Caenorhabditis elegans: one gene and its partners. The protein of the gene in region 3 binds, or shares a complex with, the protein of the main gene of each other region. Each region holds a gene or a part of one and is shown on either strand. Other genes may lie near its edges. The genes, in order: eif-3.B, eif-3.I and eif-3.H.

Evidence for each region.
Region 1: eif-3.H (region 3) and eif-3.B share a complex: the UniProt entries of both Caenorhabditis elegans proteins name them as parts of the eukaryotic translation initiation factor 3 (eIF-3) complex.
Region 2: eif-3.H (region 3) and eif-3.I share a complex: the UniProt entries of both Caenorhabditis elegans proteins name them as parts of the eukaryotic translation initiation factor 3 (eIF-3) complex.

Annotation. Positions count from the first base shown.
Region 1 is NC_003280.10:14,793,278-14,799,228, reverse strand, and holds eif-3.B (Eukaryotic translation initiation factor 3 subunit B), read right to left. Parts: upstream 3,826-5,951; 5' UTR 3,801-3,825; coding exon 3,719-3,800; intron 3,650-3,718; coding exon 3,456-3,649; intron 3,411-3,455; coding exon 3,078-3,410; intron 3,025-3,077; coding exon 2,317-3,024; intron 2,247-2,316; coding exon 1,386-2,246; 3' UTR 994-1,385; downstream 1-993. Other genes in the region: tbc-20 (Rab-GAP TBC domain-containing protein), read right to left, coding at 6-198, 253-434, 487-592, 642-743. UniProt on the Caenorhabditis elegans protein: RNA-binding component of the eukaryotic translation initiation factor 3 (eIF-3) complex, which is involved in protein synthesis of a specialized repertoire of mRNAs and, together with other initiation factors, stimulates binding of mRNA and methionyl-tRNAi to the 40S ribosome.
Region 2 is NC_003279.8:2,483,479-2,490,589, forward strand, and holds eif-3.I (Eukaryotic translation initiation factor 3 subunit I), read left to right. Parts: upstream 1-2,382; 5' UTR 2,383-2,390; coding exon 2,391-2,526; intron 2,527-3,329; coding exon 3,330-3,763; intron 3,764-4,733; coding exon 4,734-5,088; intron 5,089-5,962; coding exon 5,963-6,021; 3' UTR 6,022-6,309; downstream 6,310-7,111. Other genes in the region: abtm-1 (Iron-sulfur clusters transporter ABCB7, mitochondrial), read right to left, coding at 1,720-1,797, 1,845-1,904; Y74C10AR.2 (Conserved secreted protein), read left to right, coding at 1-174; ddx-10 (ATP-dependent RNA helicase), read left to right, coding at 6,506-6,712, 6,759-7,111. UniProt on the Caenorhabditis elegans protein: Component of the eukaryotic translation initiation factor 3 (eIF-3) complex, which is involved in protein synthesis of a specialized repertoire of mRNAs and, together with other initiation factors, stimulates binding of mRNA and methionyl-tRNAi to the 40S ribosome.
Region 3 is NC_003279.8:4,442,504-4,447,619, reverse strand, and holds eif-3.H (Eukaryotic translation initiation factor 3 subunit H), read right to left. Parts: upstream 2,902-5,116; 5' UTR 2,891-2,901; coding exon 2,774-2,890; intron 2,729-2,773; coding exon 2,606-2,728; intron 2,560-2,605; coding exon 2,364-2,559; intron 2,317-2,363; coding exon 2,217-2,316; intron 2,168-2,216; coding exon 1,873-2,167; intron 1,631-1,872; coding exon 1,364-1,630; 3' UTR 1,007-1,363; downstream 1-1,006. Other genes in the region: cps-6 (Endonuclease G, mitochondrial), read left to right, coding at 18-140, 197-351, 607-958; C41D11.3 (Cysteine/serine-rich nuclear protein N-terminal domain-containing protein), read left to right, coding at 3,278-3,334, 3,464-3,553, 3,603-4,076, 4,769-5,015. UniProt on the Caenorhabditis elegans protein: Component of the eukaryotic translation initiation factor 3 (eIF-3) complex, which is involved in protein synthesis of a specialized repertoire of mRNAs and, together with other initiation factors, stimulates binding of mRNA and methionyl-tRNAi to the 40S ribosome.

The DNA of each region.
Region 1 (5,951 bases), on a different chromosome or scaffold from region 3:
CTCACCCTGATAATAATTAAACCGTGGATTAATACTGAGCACCCGTACAATTAATGGAATGAGTTCGGTTTGAAGCACGTCTCGATGGGTATCTGATATGTTCGGTGGGAACCTGGAAAGCGTCCGATGAACGTCCAATTCTACTTGATTCCATTCTTTGTGGCCTTTTAAATCTTCTAGTGTCAGCTCCTCGCTTTCCTGGAACACAAGCTTATATTTCATATTTAAAAAATTTATATTCAGTGTAAAAACCTCATAAGCAGGCTCCTCGTCGAAATCCGACTGCGCAGATTCGAAATCCGAGTCGTAGGACGAAGAAACATCGTCTAAATCATCGTTTTGCACTAAATTCGCGGATAAAACTGGCCAAATGACGGCGCGGAACTCATCGTCCACAAGCCCGCCGGGTGAAATCGCAAAATCGCGGAGTTCGTCTGAAAATCGTTTTTTGATAAATTTAAATTCAAATTCTATAATAAAAATTACCAATATATAAGCTGAGATCCTCTTTTCGGTGCTTTTTCAAAAATCGATCAATTGCTTCGCGTTTATTTCGCAACGCGTTGAATTTTGCTCTCGCCAGGGGTCCCGGCTGAAAAATTGATTTTTTTTCGTTAAATTTTCTCATTAAAAACCCCTACTTTTACATATTCTTCGCCCAAATCGCTGCATGAGGCTGTCTGCCACTTATCTACGAGCACCTCTTTCAACGGCGAATTTGGCTCCGAAAACGATGAGTGCATGAACGGGTTAATTGCTAAAATTGAAGTTTAAAGTTTTTTATAGAAATTTTATTTTAAAAAAGTATAAAAAGAACAGAGTAAAATAGAGAAAGTGGATTAAAAATTGACAGAAAACCCGATGAGACATTTGTCGTCAAATTTAATGCAAAGTGTGCATACACCGTCACGTCACATTGCACCATTTGTGGAATTTTTAATAAACGTGGAATTTTTTTTTCAGAATCACAATTTTATAGCGCTGAAAAATATAATTTATGAATTTTCACTTCTGTTTATTTGGAAAAAATCTGAAACATCAACTAATTCATCAACATTTTATCGGCAAAAACCACCAGAAAACACGGAGAGACGGGAGCAACAAGAGATATTAAAGTGGATAGAGAGAAACAATTAAATAATATTAGGGCCGCCCAAAAGAAGCTTGAAAAAACCTTCTCCATTCAGGCATCATAAAGTTAAATTTGCCATAGAAAAAGGCGTTGTTCAGAAAATGACGACATGACTGGGAAAATGAAGAGGAAAACGAAAACGAGTACATGGTGGAACCACCAAAAAGAGGGGACGCCGCTCCAAGTCTTCGAGAAATCAGGAAGAAAAAGCAGCGCATAAAAAAGGGGAAAAACCGGGAAATCAAATAACTAATTAGTCTCTCATCTCCTCCTCCGTCAGAGGGGCTTGTGTTTTGCTTGTGCTCAGCGCAATGGTAATCTCCTCATCCACAAATTCGTCCTCGTCGAGTTGGGCTTCTGTGTCCACGCCGTTTCGAAGAGAGATTCTCTCGTCACGGGTGGCGTCGAGTTGCTCGCGATTCCGGCTTCGAATAATATCGAAGGCAGCCATGATCTTGCGTCGCTTCTCAACAACCTCCTGACTGGCTCTGCACTTTTCGTCGTCATCCTGCTTGATGAACTTGGCGGCGGTCTTCTTCAAGTTCTTCTTGATCTCACGCTGCTTCTGTTCGCTCAACTTCACCGGCGGCCGTGGTCTCCACTTGAATTGGGCGAGCCGGTCGAGATTCTTTCTGCACAGTTCTCTTCCCTGGAATGTGAAGATTCGGTAACCCAAATCGGCTCCGGCTCTTCCTCCCAACGTTGAGCATGTCACAAAGTATCTTCCAGTTGGATCCCAATATCCCTTATTGAAGAGTGGATGTTCTATAACATTAGTTCTCTTGGCCTCCGACAAAGAAGTATCAATGAAATAGACGTTTCCTCCAGCTGACACCTTGGCGAGAACTGCAAGCCATCCTCCTTTCGGCGCGAATTGAACCTCATTGAAGTGAACTCCAGCGTCCAACTTGCTCACAAGCTTCGGTGCGTGGCTGTTAGCCTCGATCTTGTAGACTTGTGGAGTGGCCTTAGCGGTGTTTCCCACGAGCACACAGAACTTATCGCCTTCTGGATCCCAATCGAAATGGATGAATGGCTCCGAAAGTGGGAGATTCATAAGGGAAACGTCCTTCTTGTCAATCTCGAAGATGTCCACGTGGTATTGGCATCCTCCCTGAAATTATATCATTATTATTATTATTGTCATAGGCCTCAAAAAATCCTTTAAAAAACTCAAAACTTACCACATATTTGACTTCTCCGGTCTCTCTGTACTCCTTCTTCTTGAATCTCATCGTGTAGAAGGCCAATCGCTTTCCGCTCTTCTGCCAGAACATCTGAGCGTCGGCGACATTGTGAACGCGAGCCGAACGAAGTCTCTGCATTGATGGAACTTGCAAGAGTCCAAACTCGGCTGGAACGGCGTCAGTGCACTCTGAATAGTAGGCGAGGACTGTGGATGTTGGCGACCACTCGAATTGCTTGATATTCTCGATATTCACGGGACGGCCTTCATAGAGCTCGAACTTCTCGGATTCGAAGATCGAAATTCCGTTGATCTTCTGCTCACGCTCAAGCTTATCCTTTTCTGGAGCCTTGAGGCACGCGAAGTACTTCTCATCGAATGACCATCTGAAGAATGGCCAGGTTGGGAGCTGAGTTCTTCCGGTGAGCTCGAAAGTGGAAAAGGCCTTCTTCAATTCTCCGGTTCGGACGTCCCAAATTCTCAAACTATCCTTCTCACAGTCTCCCCAGCTGTTCGACTCTTCCGGAGCGGCGTAGGTAACAAGGTAGGTCTCACACGGCGAGAAATCAATGTATTGAACGTTGGTATGAGCGAAACGGTGGGCACGAGCGTAGTCTTTGCCTCCCCAAAGTATGATTCCTTGCTTATGGATCGTGGAAAGGTAGGAGCCGTGTGGTGACCAAGTGAAGACGGTTTCGGTCCAGTTCTGGAAAAAAAAATTATTTCATTTTTTAAAAACAAATAATTCTCAAAACTTACAGCTCTTTCAGCCTTATCGGCATCTCCTGCAAGCTCTGGATCATTTCCCTTCATATTGGTGAACACTCCGACAGTTGGAACTCCAAGTTTATCGTGGGAAATTGCGAACTGATCACGGCAACGCTCGTTTTGAAGCCACCACCAGAGATCTCCAACGTCATTATAAGCCTGCTTCTCTGGAGTTGTCCAGTGATCGGAAGGAGCTTCGAGTTGCTTCATATCCTTGAAAGAACGGGCGGTGAATGTGTGATTCTTATCGAAAGCATATCCATTCAAACTTTTCACGGCGAACTGAGCGGATCGTTGATCGGCCCACTCGGTGAGCAGAACTCCCTGGAAAAAATATATTAAAATCGATATCGTTTGCGTGAATCTCACCAAGCAACCTCCTTCTGGACTTGGCGGAATGTAGAGCTTCACTGCAGGATCCAACCTCTCCAGAACCTTCTTCAGTACACTTTGGAGTTTTCCAAGACGGTCAGCTCCAACAACTGGGATTCCCGCGATGAAGACGCAATTGTCTTCAAATTCATCGATAGTTGGTTTCTTGTGGAGAACGTCAGGAACGAGAACTGAAATAAAAACATTGATTGTTGGCTATTTTTTGGAATTGATTTCAAAAAATTGAATAAAAAACCAACCATCATCGGTGACGTCGTCAACAAATCCTGGCGGATCCGAAAAATCTTCTTCGTTCTCTTTATTAAAGTCAATTTCGACCATTCTGTGTAACCCAACTAGTCTGAAACTTTAGACACGGTTTATTGAGTAAATTGTGAGATATTTTAAAGGAAAATGGAAGGAAAAACGAGATAAGTTGAATTTTTACAGAATTTTCTCCGAAAATTGTGGAAAAATGTTGGAAAACGCTGGAAAATCTGAAAAATAGGACCGATATTTGGAATATGAACAAACTCTAAACAACACCCATGCGGGAGAACGGAGCGTCGTTGCAAGCGCTCGACCGAAGAGAATCCTAGGCCGCGTCCATGAGATTTGCGCGGAATTTCAAATAGAGATAATTTTGAAACTCAAACGCGAATCAATGCATTTATAAATATTTAATGAAAGAAAAATGGGTGTACGCAAACACCAGACTTTACGAAGAAATGCGGACATTTGCCCTTTTTTCCGGAGAACGCGGCAGCGAGTACATTTTAAATATATTTATCGATCAGTTGTTTAAGTAAATAGCACAATCGATACCGAGCTCCAGTCGATGCCCGCTCAACAATCAAAGAGCAAGCAACAATCCAAGGGGGTAGTCCTCACAACAATGCTGCTGACCGTTTACTGTACAAATCACGCAATTTTTACTATAACATGATGATTAGTATACATTATTCTCAATGGATTCGTCCTTGCAGATGATTTGCTATGAGTGTTTCAGTAAAAAGTTGTTGAATCAAAGAAGTTTTGGATTTTAAGAAAGAACTTGAAAACTTAAAATAATTCTGATAGTCTTAGGTCGTTTCATATTCTGGGTTAGATGAGTTTTGTCGACTGTGCAACAGAAAGGTTTGGGCTTTACATTGGAAAAAGTGAGTGTATTGCATCGGAAGACTATGTCTGGATACGGAGTTGTGTTTTTGTTAGTTTTACTGTAACATGATGATTAGTTTACATTATTCTCTTTGGATTCGTCCTTGCAGAGTATGGACTATGAGTGTTTCAGTAAAAAGTTGTTGAATCAAAGAAGTTTTGGATTTTAAGAAAGAACTTGAAAACTTAAAATATCTCTGACAGGGTTAGGTCGTTTCATATTCTGAGTTAGATGAGTTTTGTCGACTGTGCAACAGAAAGGTTTGGGCTTTACATTGGAAAAAGTGAGAGTATTGCCGGTACAAAATCTGCCAGCTTCGACGGAAGGGATAGCTTGTATAAAACGAAAAGTTAAAGGCAAAACCACAAATGATTTTTAGCAGTTCTTTTTTATTCTTCTGCGGATCGTCTTGCTTTTTCATGATTGATGATTCTTGGTTCTCCATGATTAGTACGGTAACACAGCAGCATTTTGTCAAGCTATGTTTTTGCGATGAGCGGCCCTGTTTGATGACCTAGCGGCACTCAATTGCGCGCTCAATCGAATGACTGGTTATTTAAAATCGAAAATAGAGGTGGGGTAGGCGATTTTTTTTGGAATTTTTTTAGTCTGCTACTTGATACATATAGACACTTTCGTATCTATAGAAATTTGATGTTCTTCAAATGCCACACCTCTAATCGATTTTTATTTGGCTAGCACAATCGATACCGAGCTCCAGTCGATGCCCGCTCAACAATCAAAGAGCAAGCAACAATCCAAGGGGGTAGTCCTCACAACAATGCTGCTGACCTTTTACTGTACAAATCACGCAATTTTTACTATAACATGATGATTAGTATACATTATTCTCAATGGATTCGTCCTTGCAGATGATTTGCTATGAGCGTTTTAGTAGAAAGTTGTTGAATCAAAGAAGTTTTGGAATTTAAGAAAGAACTTGGAAACTTAAAATATCTTTCATAGTCTTGGGCCGTTTCATATTTTGAGTTACATTAGTTTTATCAACTGTACAAGAGCAAGGTTCGGGTTTCACACTTGAACAAGTGAGAGTATTTCATCGGGAGACTATGTCTGGATATAATAACCGGTAGTGTAGTTTACTACAATAAAGTTGTGTAGTTCAATACGATCATCACCGGGGACTTCCTGTTCCAGTGGTCGTTTAGCTGTAGCTAAGCACTCACTGGATGTGGACCTCCAAGCCCTTTCTTGCATCACTTGGCCGGTGCTGGGTAACGCACGTGACGTGAGAAAGGTCGCAAATCCCTAGAAATCTTGAAAAACGGGACGGCCACCCAAGGGTCAGTGGATTCTGCTGGCAGATTAAG
Region 2 (7,111 bases), 2.0 Mb from region 3:
GGATACATCTCGTTTGCTCCGATTGGTTGTGTGCTCAATAAGAAGGCGGGGCTTGAGCTGTTGGAGTTGAATGCCAGCGGACAACTTGATAATAGACAAAATGTGAAATGTAAGCAGAATAACGAAGGAGAATTCAGTTTTGAATTCGGATCAGAAGCTCAGAAGAAGAATTAATTGATTTTTTAATGTCTTTTTTCGAATTTGGGACACGTTTTTGAGCTTTTTGAGCTAATAAAGTTGATTTTTAAGCATTTTTTCATGATTTTAAGGTAGAAAAATCGAATTTTCACCAAAAAAAACTGGGAAAAAACGCAAAATTGTTCCACTTGTGGAGGTATTCTCATGTTCCCGTGGAGTAGAAAAGCCTAAGCCTAAGCCTTAGCTTAAGCAGTTGAGCTTCATCTCAAATTTGTGATTTTTGAGAATTATTTAAAGCTTCCGATTGAACAAAACTGCACAATTTCTGAAAAACGTGCTATTTCATCGTATTTTAGCTTAAAAATACGATTTTTTGCTCGAAAAATCGCTATTTTGACCAAAATTCAACGGAAAATTCAATTTTTCCATTAAAATTCCACTGAAATTCATATTTTTCGAGGTAAACCGCAGGTTTCGTTTGCTCCGATGAGCTGTTAGAGTTGAATGCCAGTGGACAACTTGATAATGGACAAAATGTGAAATGTAAGCAGAATAACGAAGGAGAACTCAGTTTTGAGTTCGGATCAGAAGCTCAGAAGAAGAATTAATTGATTTTTTAATGTCTTTTTTCGAATTTGGGACACGTTTTTGGTGCTTTTTGAGCTAATAAAGTTGATTTTTGAGCATTTTTTCATGATTTTAGGGTGTAAAAACCTAATTTTACACCAAAAAACTGGGTTTTTCGGATGAAAAATGCAACTTTCCAAGTTCCTTTGGAGCTTCCGAGCTTCATCTCAAATTTGTGATTTTTGAGAATTGTTTGAAGCTTGCGACAACACAATTCCTGGAAAACGTGCTATTTCATCGTATTTTTGCTTAAAAATACGATTCTAAGCACGGAAAGTTGCTACTTTGAACGAAGTTCAACGGAAAATTCAATTTTTCCATTAAAATTCTACTGAAAATCATATTTTTCGAGGTAAAATCCAATTTTCGCAGATTCCATTTGTTGATTTTTAAGCATTTTTTTAAAATGATTTTAAGGTGAAAAAATCCAATTTTCCCCGAAAAACTGGACTTTTCTTAAGAAAAATGCTAGATTTTTCCAGTTCTGGAAAGATTCCCACGTTCCAGTGGTGCTTTCCAGCAACTTTTTCACAAATTTCTGTTTTTTTTTTCAAAATAAACTGCTTTTTTTTTTAGAAATTATATATTTTTTGAGCAGAAAAAGTGAAAATTTCGATATATATTAGGCCTAAAATGGAATTTTTTGAAGAAAATTCAGAAAAAAATTAATTTATAAAAGAGAAAAATCGATATCTCAGCTACCGTAAAAGCTTTAAAGGCGCATAGCAAAATTTAATTCTAACTTTAGAGACTGTAGTTTTCGCTTCGAGACCACAAGCTTATTTTTCGCTCTAATTGGCTAAAAATTAACTTTTTCGAGGCAAAAATTTCTGGAATTAGCTTTAAAAAATGTGAAAATACATATTTTTAACCTAAAAATTCATGGAAATTTCTATAAAATGTTTTTTAAGGATTTTAAAACGTTTTTTTCAACAAATTATCGCAAAACCCCACATTTTTACTAAGAATCTGTGTGGCATTTCTGATGAGTGCTGGTGATTTTGTCAGTGACGAGAAACTGCGGTAAACTGCCTGAAAATCAATATTTTACCGGAAATTCTCGGGTTTTTTAACGATACCTGCGATCTGATAGTGTTTGACGCGTTCCGTAGGCCAGCTATTAGTCGTAATTGTAACATTATCGATCTCTGAAAACTGGATTCGGTGAAGCTTTCGCAAAAAAATCGATGAGAATTGAGAGTTGCGAAATTTAGCAGTTATTTGTGGTGGAACATGTTAAAATTTGAGTTTTTAATTAATATATTGCTAAAAATTTGATAAAATTCACTTTTTAATTGTTGAAAACTACTGAAAACCACTCGAAATTGCTGAAAATTGCTGAAAATCGAAATTTCGTCAGCTGATGTCGATTATTCTGCGCGGGGGTACGGTACGCAAGTCCGCAAACACTGTCACGCCAAATTGCGGAGGTTGAGCCAAATCCTATTTCTTGTTGTTTTTTCGCTTATTTTTCGAATATTTCCCATGTTTTCTGGCTTCTAATTTTCATTTTTTTAATGGAATTTATTAATAATTAAGCCAATAATTCATTTTATAATCAAAACTGCCGAATATTCCACCAATTTCTCGCAGAAACCTTCAAAAATAGGGGATTTCTTTCAGAAATGCGTCCACTTTCGCTGAAAGGCCACGAACGTGCTCTCACTCGGGTCCGTTTCAATCGTGAGGGAGATTTGACGTTCTCCTGTGCTAAGGACAAGAAGCCATGCGTTTGGTATACTGAAAATGGAGAGAGAATCGGTATTTTTGAATATTTTCGCGAAAAATTTTCGCAGAATTAAAGGTGGAGTAGCGCTAGTGGGAAAATTGCTTTAAAACATGCATATGGTACCACAATGACCGAATATCATGATTAAAAATTTCAAAAAAATTTTCTAAATTTTATATGATTTTTTGAAAATTGAAAAAATCTCAGTTTTTGCCTAATTTCAATTTTAATTACCGCCAATTGGATTTGTTCGATGGAGCGCGCTTGCACGTTTTTAAATTTATTTATTTTATTTATTGTTATTTTCCACCGATTTTTAATGTTTTCGGTGTATTTTTGCTTGAATTTTAGAGAAAAAGTCAAAAGAATTGCAAATTTTCAATTAAAAAGCACGCTTACAGGCGTAAATCAGTGAAATTTATTAATTCAGGTTCGAAATCGTTTAAAAGCGTTACTTTTCATTTTTTACGCCTCTAAGCGTGCTTTTTAATCGAAAATTTGCAATTATTTTGACTTTTTCTCTAAAATTCAAGCAAAAATACATCGAAAACATTAAAAATCGTTGGAAAATAACAAAAAATAAAATAAATAAATTTTAAAACGTGCAAGCGCGCTCCATCGAACAAATCCAATTGGCGGTAATTAAAATTGGAATTAGGCAAAAACTGAGATTTTTTTCAATTTTTCAAAAAATCATATAAAATTTAGAAAATTTTTTTGAAATTTTTAATCATGATATTCGGTCACTGTGGTACCATATGCATGTTTTAAAGCAATTTTCCCACTGACGCTACTCCACCTTTTAAATATATTTATTTATTATTTTTCTTTTCAGGTAGCTACGACGGGCATAACGGAGCCGTGTGGGATATCGACGTCTCATGGGACACTACCAAGTGTGTCACCGCGTCCGGAGACCTCACCGTGAAGATTTGGGATGCCGAGCTCGGCAACTGCCTCTACACAATCAACCATCAGACTCCGATGAAGTCGTGCGGATTCTCGTATTCAGGAAATTTGGTGTGCTTCACCACACAAAAGATGACAAAGAATCTCTCGACGTTCCAAGTCCGAGATCTTCGTGATTCAAGTCAAATGGTTGAGGGTGGAGAGTCATTCTTCTACTCACAATTCGATGTGAACGCCACGACCGCACTTTTCACTCAGATGGATGACCTCGTGACGATCGGATTCGAGTCTGGACTCCTTCAGCAGTACGATTTGAGAAATCCGGATACACCAATTCACACTAACGAGAGTGTTCATCGTGTTCGTCATTTTTTCGTTGTTCTCTGGAGCGCTTGCTGACACTTTACGATCTCCTGAATTGGCGGAAATTTTATTGCTAATTTTTGGTTTTTATTGTTGTGGGGAAACATTATTAGAGCCGAAAGTGTGTACAATTTGGAAAATTGGCGAAATTTCGCATTAAAAAACCGTGCGCGGCACAGTTGCGAAGAAGGCGTGCCAGGGTTGCATCCTGACTCCGCACACAAGATTAAAACCAAAAATTCGAAGAAATAATTTAGTTTTCTCGAAAAATGGAACAAAATCGGCAGTTTTTTCGATTTGAAAGCCGTGAAAATCTCATTTTGAAGAGAAAAAGCAGCAAAATCCGGCAGTGATTGATTATTTTGATTATTCTAATTTTTTTCAATGAAAAAACCAATTAAATCAATTAAAACTGTATTTTTCTCTACAAAAAATGTATATTTTAAAATTCTGAAATCAAAAAACTCCCGATTTTTGATGTAAAACCTTAAATTTTACGCGTTTTCGAGTCGTATAAAGCTTCCCAACAACAATATCCATCAAAAATTTATATTAATTTCCATAGAAACCAAAATTAGCAAAAAAACCTTATTTCCCGTGGAAACAAAATTCCGCGAATTCGGGAGTTCGTGAGGTGTCAGCAAGCGCGCTCCAATGATTATAAGACCGAGGCTCCACGAAATTCAAGATCTTGTGGAATTCCGGATCTGGCACCGTACCAACTCAAAAAAAATTAACGCAATTTTTCTGGAAAAAATCCTGACAACGATGCTCCGATGTTACGCATCGCGTGTTGTTTAGCGTTTTTCCTGAAGAAAATTTAAAAAAAAACCACATTTTTCTTCGAGAAAACTGCGAAAACTGCAGTTGGCACGGTGCCAGATCCGGAATTCGACGAGATCTTTAATCCGTGGTGCCTCCGTGATTTCTAAAATAATTTCAAAAAAAAAATTTCCCAAAATTTCAGTACAGCGTCCAAGATCTCCAACTATCACCACGCGGCGATTTCCTGATCTCCGCTTCACGCGACAAGACGGCCGCCCTGCTCGACGTGAACGATCTGAAAAAGCTGAAACAATACAAATCCGAGCGTCCCGTCAACTCGGCATGCATCTCACCGAATCGCGATCACATTTGCCTTGGAGGAGGAGAAGACGCGATGCAGGTCACACAGACGTCTGTCTCTGCTGGACACTTTGAAGCCAAGATCTATCATATGGTGTTCGAAGAGGAATTCGCCAGATTCAAGGGACATTTCGGACCGATTAACACGATGGCCTGGCATCCATCGGGCACAATTATCGCGACTGGAGGAGAAGACGGTATGGGGATTCCACTGCAACTTTTTTTTTGAACGAGGGACGAGGAAATGCGGTTTCTAGGCCATGACCGAGGATCCGACAAGATTTATCAGCAATTTATCTTGCTTTGTTTTCCGCGTTTTTTCTTTTATTTTTCACCGATGTTTCCCCCGTTTTTTCTTATTAAAACTGATGAAGAAATATTGTTTTTGCAGATGCTAAAATAATTTTCAAGTGAAAAAATTGTGAATTCAGCCGGCAAGTAGCGGTGGAAGTGGTCAATGTAATATGATGGATTACGGGAATACTAAACCTAAACTTTCTTCCAAAACATGCTATAAATGCTGCTTAGATGCTGAAACTACCTGATTTTAATAACGAGACCGCTGAAAAAGTTTTGAGATTTTCAAAATTCAACCTTTTTGGCGAAAAAGTCGAGATTTTTCCACAAAATGTTGAATTTTGAAAATCTCAAAAAACTTTTTCAGCGGTCTCGTTATTAAAATCAGGTAGTTTCAGCCTCTAAGCAGCATATGTATCATGTTTCGAAAAAAGTTTAGTGTTTAGTATTCCCGTAATCCATCATATTACATTGACCACTTTCACCGCTACTTGCCGGCTGAATTCACAATTTTTTTCACTTGGAAATTATTTTAGCATCTGGTTTTAAAAAAATTTATTTATCAGTTTTAATAAGAAAAAAACGGGGGAAAAATCGGTGAAAAATAAAAGAAAACTCGCGGAAAACATTGCAAGATAAATTGCCGATAAATCTTGTCGGATCCTCGGCCATGGCCTAGAAACCGCATTTCCTCGTCCCTCGTTCAAAAAAAAGTTGCAGTGCGATTTGAGGATTTTTCATATAAAAATTCAAAAATTATTGATTTTTTTCCAGGTTACATCAGAATTCAAGAGTTCGACGAGGACTACCTCGGCTTCACCTACGATTTTTAATTTGTTCTACGTTTTCGTTTTCTTCCTGTTTCCCGGGCGATCGTATTTGCCAAAAAAAGACCGTTTCCCCCTTTTTCCTACTCGTTCCTGTTGAAAACCGCCTAATTTTAGAGTTTAAATGACGAATTTAAGCCTATGCAGTTCGGAAAACCTTTAAAATTTATCAAATTCTAAAATTACGCGGTGGTGATTTTCTGTTTTTTCCATTTTTTCCATATTTAAGATCAATTTTCGGTGGCTTTTAATTGTTTTTTTTTTCATAAATAAATATTATTTTGAGTTAAAATTGATCTATTCCCTCGAATTTCTTGGTTTTAATCTCCAATTATTATATTTTTAAAAAAAATTAATTTTTTCTCAATTAAAAATTAAGAAAAATTGTGGGCGGAGTCAGAATGCAACCCTGGCACGCTTTTTTCGCAACTGCCGCGCACGATTTTTCCTGCAATTTTTAAATATTTTTACCCAATTTTCAGCGTTTTCAATGCCTCACACAAACGGAAAAGGCGGCGGAGCACAGAAATGGGCTGGAAATAATAAAAGAAAACGAAATTTCGATGGCGAGCAGGATCCAAGTGTCAGAAAAGCGTTGAAGGAGAAGCGGCTTCTGAAAAAGAGAAAACAGGATTTAAAGGGACAGGAGGAGACAATGCTCGACGAAGTTGAGCAGAAATATCAGGAAATGCTCAAGGTAGCTCTAAAAAATAGTTTTTTTATTAAAAAATCGATTTTTCCAGAAAAGCTCCCGCACATTTCTCCGCTTCGAGGATTTCCCGCTCTCCTGGAGGACACTGGAGGGTCTCAAGGATAATGACTACACAAAACCCACAGAAATCCAACGGGACACGATTGCCTACTCTCTGACCGGCTCAGATGTCGTCGGAGCCGCAAAAACCGGCAGCGGAAAGACTCTGGCACTGGTGATCCCCGTGCTGGAGGCTCTTTGGCGAGCAAAATGGTCTCCAGACTATGGTCTCGGAGCGCTAATCATTTCACCGACACGAGAGCTGGCTCTTCAGACATTTAGCACAATTAACGCCGTCGGAGCCCATCACGGATTCTCGTGTGGCTTGGTTATCGGCGGAAGTGA
Region 3 (5,116 bases):
AAAAATTGAATTTCCAGGTCTGCGAACATCTTACACCAGAACGATTAAAACACGCAGAAGGTGTGGATCGGAAGCTTTGTGAATTCAAGCCAGATATCACTTTCCCGCAGAAATTCCTTTCTCAAAATACGGATTATAAGGTTAGTTCTTCGTAATTATTACATAAAAAATATTTCTGAACCATCCAATGTTTCAGTGCAGTGGATTCGATCGTGGACATCTCGCCGCCGCTGGAAATCATCGGAAGAGTCAGTTGGCGGTCGATCAAACTTTTTATTTGAGCAATATGAGCCCACAAGTTGGACGAGGATTCAATCGCGATAAGTGGAATGATTTGGAAATGCACTGCAGGTTGGTAAAATAAATAAAGTTTTTTGCCGGGAAAAAAACGCGAAAAATGTGAAATAATTTTTTTTCTCGTCGACGAAGTTTTTCGCAAAAACACGTAACTCTAAAGAATTTTGTTTTTTGAAAAATTAATACAATTTGAAACTTTTGGAAAATTTTTTTGAGAAAAAAAAACGAAAAATCTACAGCCCAGTCTGAAACCAGCTGGTACCAAGATTTTTCTTTACAATACTAAAAATAATTTTCTACAATTTCCAGAAGAGTCGCAAAAAAGATGATCAACTCCTACATAATCACCGGTCCCCTCTACCTTCCAAAACTTGAAGGAGATGGAAAAAAGTATATCAAGTATCAAGTTATCGGTGATAATAACGTTGCAGTGCCAACTCATTTCTTCAAAGTTGCTCTTTTCGAAGTGACACCCGGCAAATTCGAGCTGGAATCCTATATTTTGCCAAACGCAGTCATCGAGGATACTGTAGAAATTTCCAAGTTCCATGTTCCATTGGATGCTGTGGAGAGAAGTGCGGGTCTTGAGATTTTCGCTCGTTTGGACCCTAAGAGCATTGTGAAAGAGAACGGAGCAAAGAAGGGAGGATTACTTTGGTGATTGATTGGATTGTGATTCCGGTGAATTTTAGGTTTAGGTTGTTTTGTTTTTGTTTCACAAATAAATTTTTTGTTAACTTTTTTGATTTACTGATTGAAAAAACTTGAAAACTCAATTAAAAAGAACAATACCAATAGAAATTTTAAAATCTTAACTTACTATTAGTCAACAACAAAAATTCATCCGAAATAGGGGAAGGTGGAAAAGGATACCAGAAAGGAATTTCATACGGCAAAAAAATTTGGATGAAAAACAATATCCCTATATTGAAAGTGAGACATTATTTTATGTCACTAGTTTTATGTAATATGAAATTCCTTTCACCGAGAGAAAAATATTTTAGAAAAGAAAAAGTAAATTAAAGGGAACAGGGAGGAAACAAAAACACGAGTATATTTGGGAATCTTAACGAGTCGATGAGACAGAGCTCAAAGTTCTGTCTTTTGTTCCGGCGACTTTCTCCTCAGCAACAGCTTCAGCGATGAACATTTTCGTGATATTTTCGCTGGTCACAGTCTTCGAGAAGTCAGCGAGAGCGTTGGTGTCAAAACTGGCGAGAAGCTCATCCAAAAGTCCATTTCTTGTTTGGAGTTGTGGAGCCTTGATTCTCTTGATGTCATCCATTGGAATTGTTGGATCACCACGGGCCACACGTGATTCGTTCTCCTGTTGCTGAAATTGGAAAAATATAAATTTTTAATGATAGAGATTTTTTTTTCGAAAATCGTGAATGGCACCTTTATTCCACCGAAAATGTACCCCTCACATCCGGTTTTATAGTTAGTGGAGCCTCGATATGTTGGAAAATGGTTTTCAAAAAACAAGACTTTAGGTTTGAAAGCCGTTACACTTCGGAATATAAATTTTAGCGATACAATCAGGATATTTTTAATTTCAAAATTCGAAATTCTTACTCTTTTCTGCGTCAGACTGAACACCATATTATCATGTCTTTGCTTGTCAATAGTGTACTTCGTCAACGACTGAATTGACTTGTTCAGCTCATCAACATTAGCCATCATAGCTCGGACCGACTTTTCAAGCGACTTCTTGGATCCCAAATCGAAGTGTCTCGTGGAGTACTTGTCAGAAGAGCATGATTTAGCGAGTGAAAGCTCAGACATGAGAACATTGTTGAGATATGAGGATTTGATGATGATTGGCAACTCCTCGAACATGTTCTGGTATGTCAAACCAGCGGCTTTCACCCTGAAAAGATATGTCTTTGCAAATATATTTTTAAACTCAAAAACCATACAATTCTGGTCTCCAGTCATTCTTTGAAGCGAGATCAAGAGCAGCGGTGGAAAGACGCCAGGCTCTTAGAGAAAGCTGTCCTTGGCGAGTCTTGATTGGATCTGAAAGCAATTAGAATTAATTATTTATCCTCATTAATCTGTCTAACCATAAATAAGAACAACATTTTCTGGGCCCATAGCCTGGTAATCGAACATAGATTCTACGAGATCGTGTGAGAAACCGGCTCCGAATTGATGAGACTGATAGAATCCAACGATTTCGTAATCGATATTCATTGTACGGAATTTGCGGAGCATGTCAAGCATCTCGTGTTGCTTTTGCTCTTCGTATTGTTGAGCGGCCTATAATAGAAAATATATTGGAATCACTAGCATGAGCTAATTTTACATTAGCATCGTCATCCATAACTGGCTCGTTGCGAACTGTTGGGAAGCAATTGGTGATTTCCAAGCGAGAATCTTCAAGGAAAACAAGACCGGTGAGAACTCCGGCACAAGCGTCTCCAGATACCTGTAAATTACATGTTAAGCTTGAAATTAAATTAAAATAATATACCTCACTAATTCCTGCATGAAGTTCACTGTCCACGTGCTTCACAATTTTCATAACCACAAGCGAATCCAAAAGGATATGCTTGACGCTCGGAGCGGTAATTGTCACTGCTGTCGACATTTTTGATAACCCTGAAAGATGAGCATTTAGTTTTTCAAATTTTCTAAAGAACAATAAACAATAACATGCATCTCACAAGAGGAAAAATCAATAATCTAAGCATCACGAATTTTTCGAAAGAAAATTAAAAATATAAATTTCAGAAAATTGGCGAGAAAAACCTCAAAATAATCAATAAAATCTTGAAAATAGGAAACACTCCACGAAATTAATTCCTTCCGTTGTTGTGTGCAACTGCGCGTCAATTGTAGTGCATGCACACAATTGCACACCGTACCCGCGCGTGATCTTTTGATTTGAATTCAAATTTTTGTCGTTCTTTTGTTTTTGGGATTTACTTTTTAAAATGCTTTTTGAAACTTTTTAAGAGAAATTGTATATTTTCAGATGCAATCGAGTGCATCCAACGACCCTAATAAACCTACAAATAATGAAATAATAAAGGTAAGCGCATTTATGAAAAAAAAATCAATAAAACACAATTCTTAAATAAACTAGCTTTATTGGAATCCATTTGAAGATTTAATATTATAACCAAATGCATATTAAAAAATAATTGTAAATTTGTTTCAGACACCATTGGTTCCACCAAGTCCACGTGGAGGATTAAAACGAATGGCGGGAATGAGCCAATTGAAATCGACTTTTTCAATTTCTTTGGAGGTAAAACCCTCAAGTTTCCAGCATTTTTGTTTAATAATATTCATAATAGTCTCAGAGAACAATCCCACCACCATCATCGTCCTCATCCTTCCTATCCCATTCAACATCGATGGTTTCTGTAGCAGCGAGTCTCAAAAGAGCCGGTGTACCTAGTCTAACTCGAACAAAGACTAGTGCATTACCCATAAAAATGGAGAAAAAGCCAATGGTTCCATTGCGGATAGAACAGGACCACCAGACACCGATCCGAAAACTGGCTCCGGAGAGTATTCCAAGCCTGGAAGATCAAGTAACACCGCCAATGCGTCGATCTAGTAGTGGATCAATGCTGTTGAGACAGACGCCTGAAAGGATTCGAAGGCAAGAAGAAGATGTGGAAACACCTGGTTCTCCAGTTAAAAGATACCGAAGATCCGGGTCAATGCCACGATTAGAGGCCCAGTCCCTTGATGTTCCAATACGAATGGAAATTGGAAATAGCTTAACTCCTGTGTTAAAGAGGAAGAGAACATCTTCATTAACGGTAATATATTCAACTGAATCATATCAGAGCTGGGCGGCAAATTTTTTTTCGAAAAATTCGGCGAATTTCCGAAAATTTGATTTTTCGGCAAATGCCGATTCGCCGGAAATTTCAATTCCGGCAATCTGAAATGTTTTCCCGTTTTTCTAGATATTTTCATAGAATTTCCTTACTTTTCAAAATAGAAGTAGGAACATATTTTTTTATATTACGGGAACACAAAATACTGAGAACGCGTATTACACAACATATTTGACCCGCAAAATATCTCGTAGCGAAAACTACAGTAATTCATCAAATTACTCCTGTAGCGCTTGTGTCGATTTACGGGCTTGATTTTGGAAATATCTATCGATGAATAAATAATTTTAATTCATTTCGAGAATCGAGCCCTTAAATCGACCTACAGTAGTCATTTAGATAATTACTGTAGTTTTCGCTACGAGATATTTTGCGCGTCAAATATGTTGTGAAATACGCATCATCAGAATTTTGTGTTCCCGTAATAGGAGGCGTACAATTTCGCGTCTTTAACTTGAAATTCTGAAGTTTCCAATAAAAAGTGCAACAGCACAGTTTGCCGAAATGCCGGAAATTTCAATTCCGGCGATTTGCCGATTTGCCGGAAAAAATCGTTTGCCGCCCAATCATATAAAACTAGTTTCTGAAAATAACAAAAAATATTATTTCAGTGTCTCTTTTCATCCGACATGCCACCAATTTTAACTCCACAACGTTTACGTCCACGTGGCATTTCTGAGACCCGTACCATCGATGATGACGTGTTCGTTCCAAAATCACCTACGAAAAAGCCAATAACTTCGCCAATCAAAAAACGAGTTCGTCAAGATTCGGAAAATCGTTCGACAAGTCCCCTCAAAAAACGATATATCTCGTCGTTTTCGATTCGGCTCGAAGAGGAAAAGGAAATTGAAAAAGGTTTTTATGAAAGCCTGAAAAAAAATAAACATAAATATGTTTTAAAAATCCTGAATAATAGAAAATAGCCTCAATATACCTATAGAATTTTTTAGATTTTT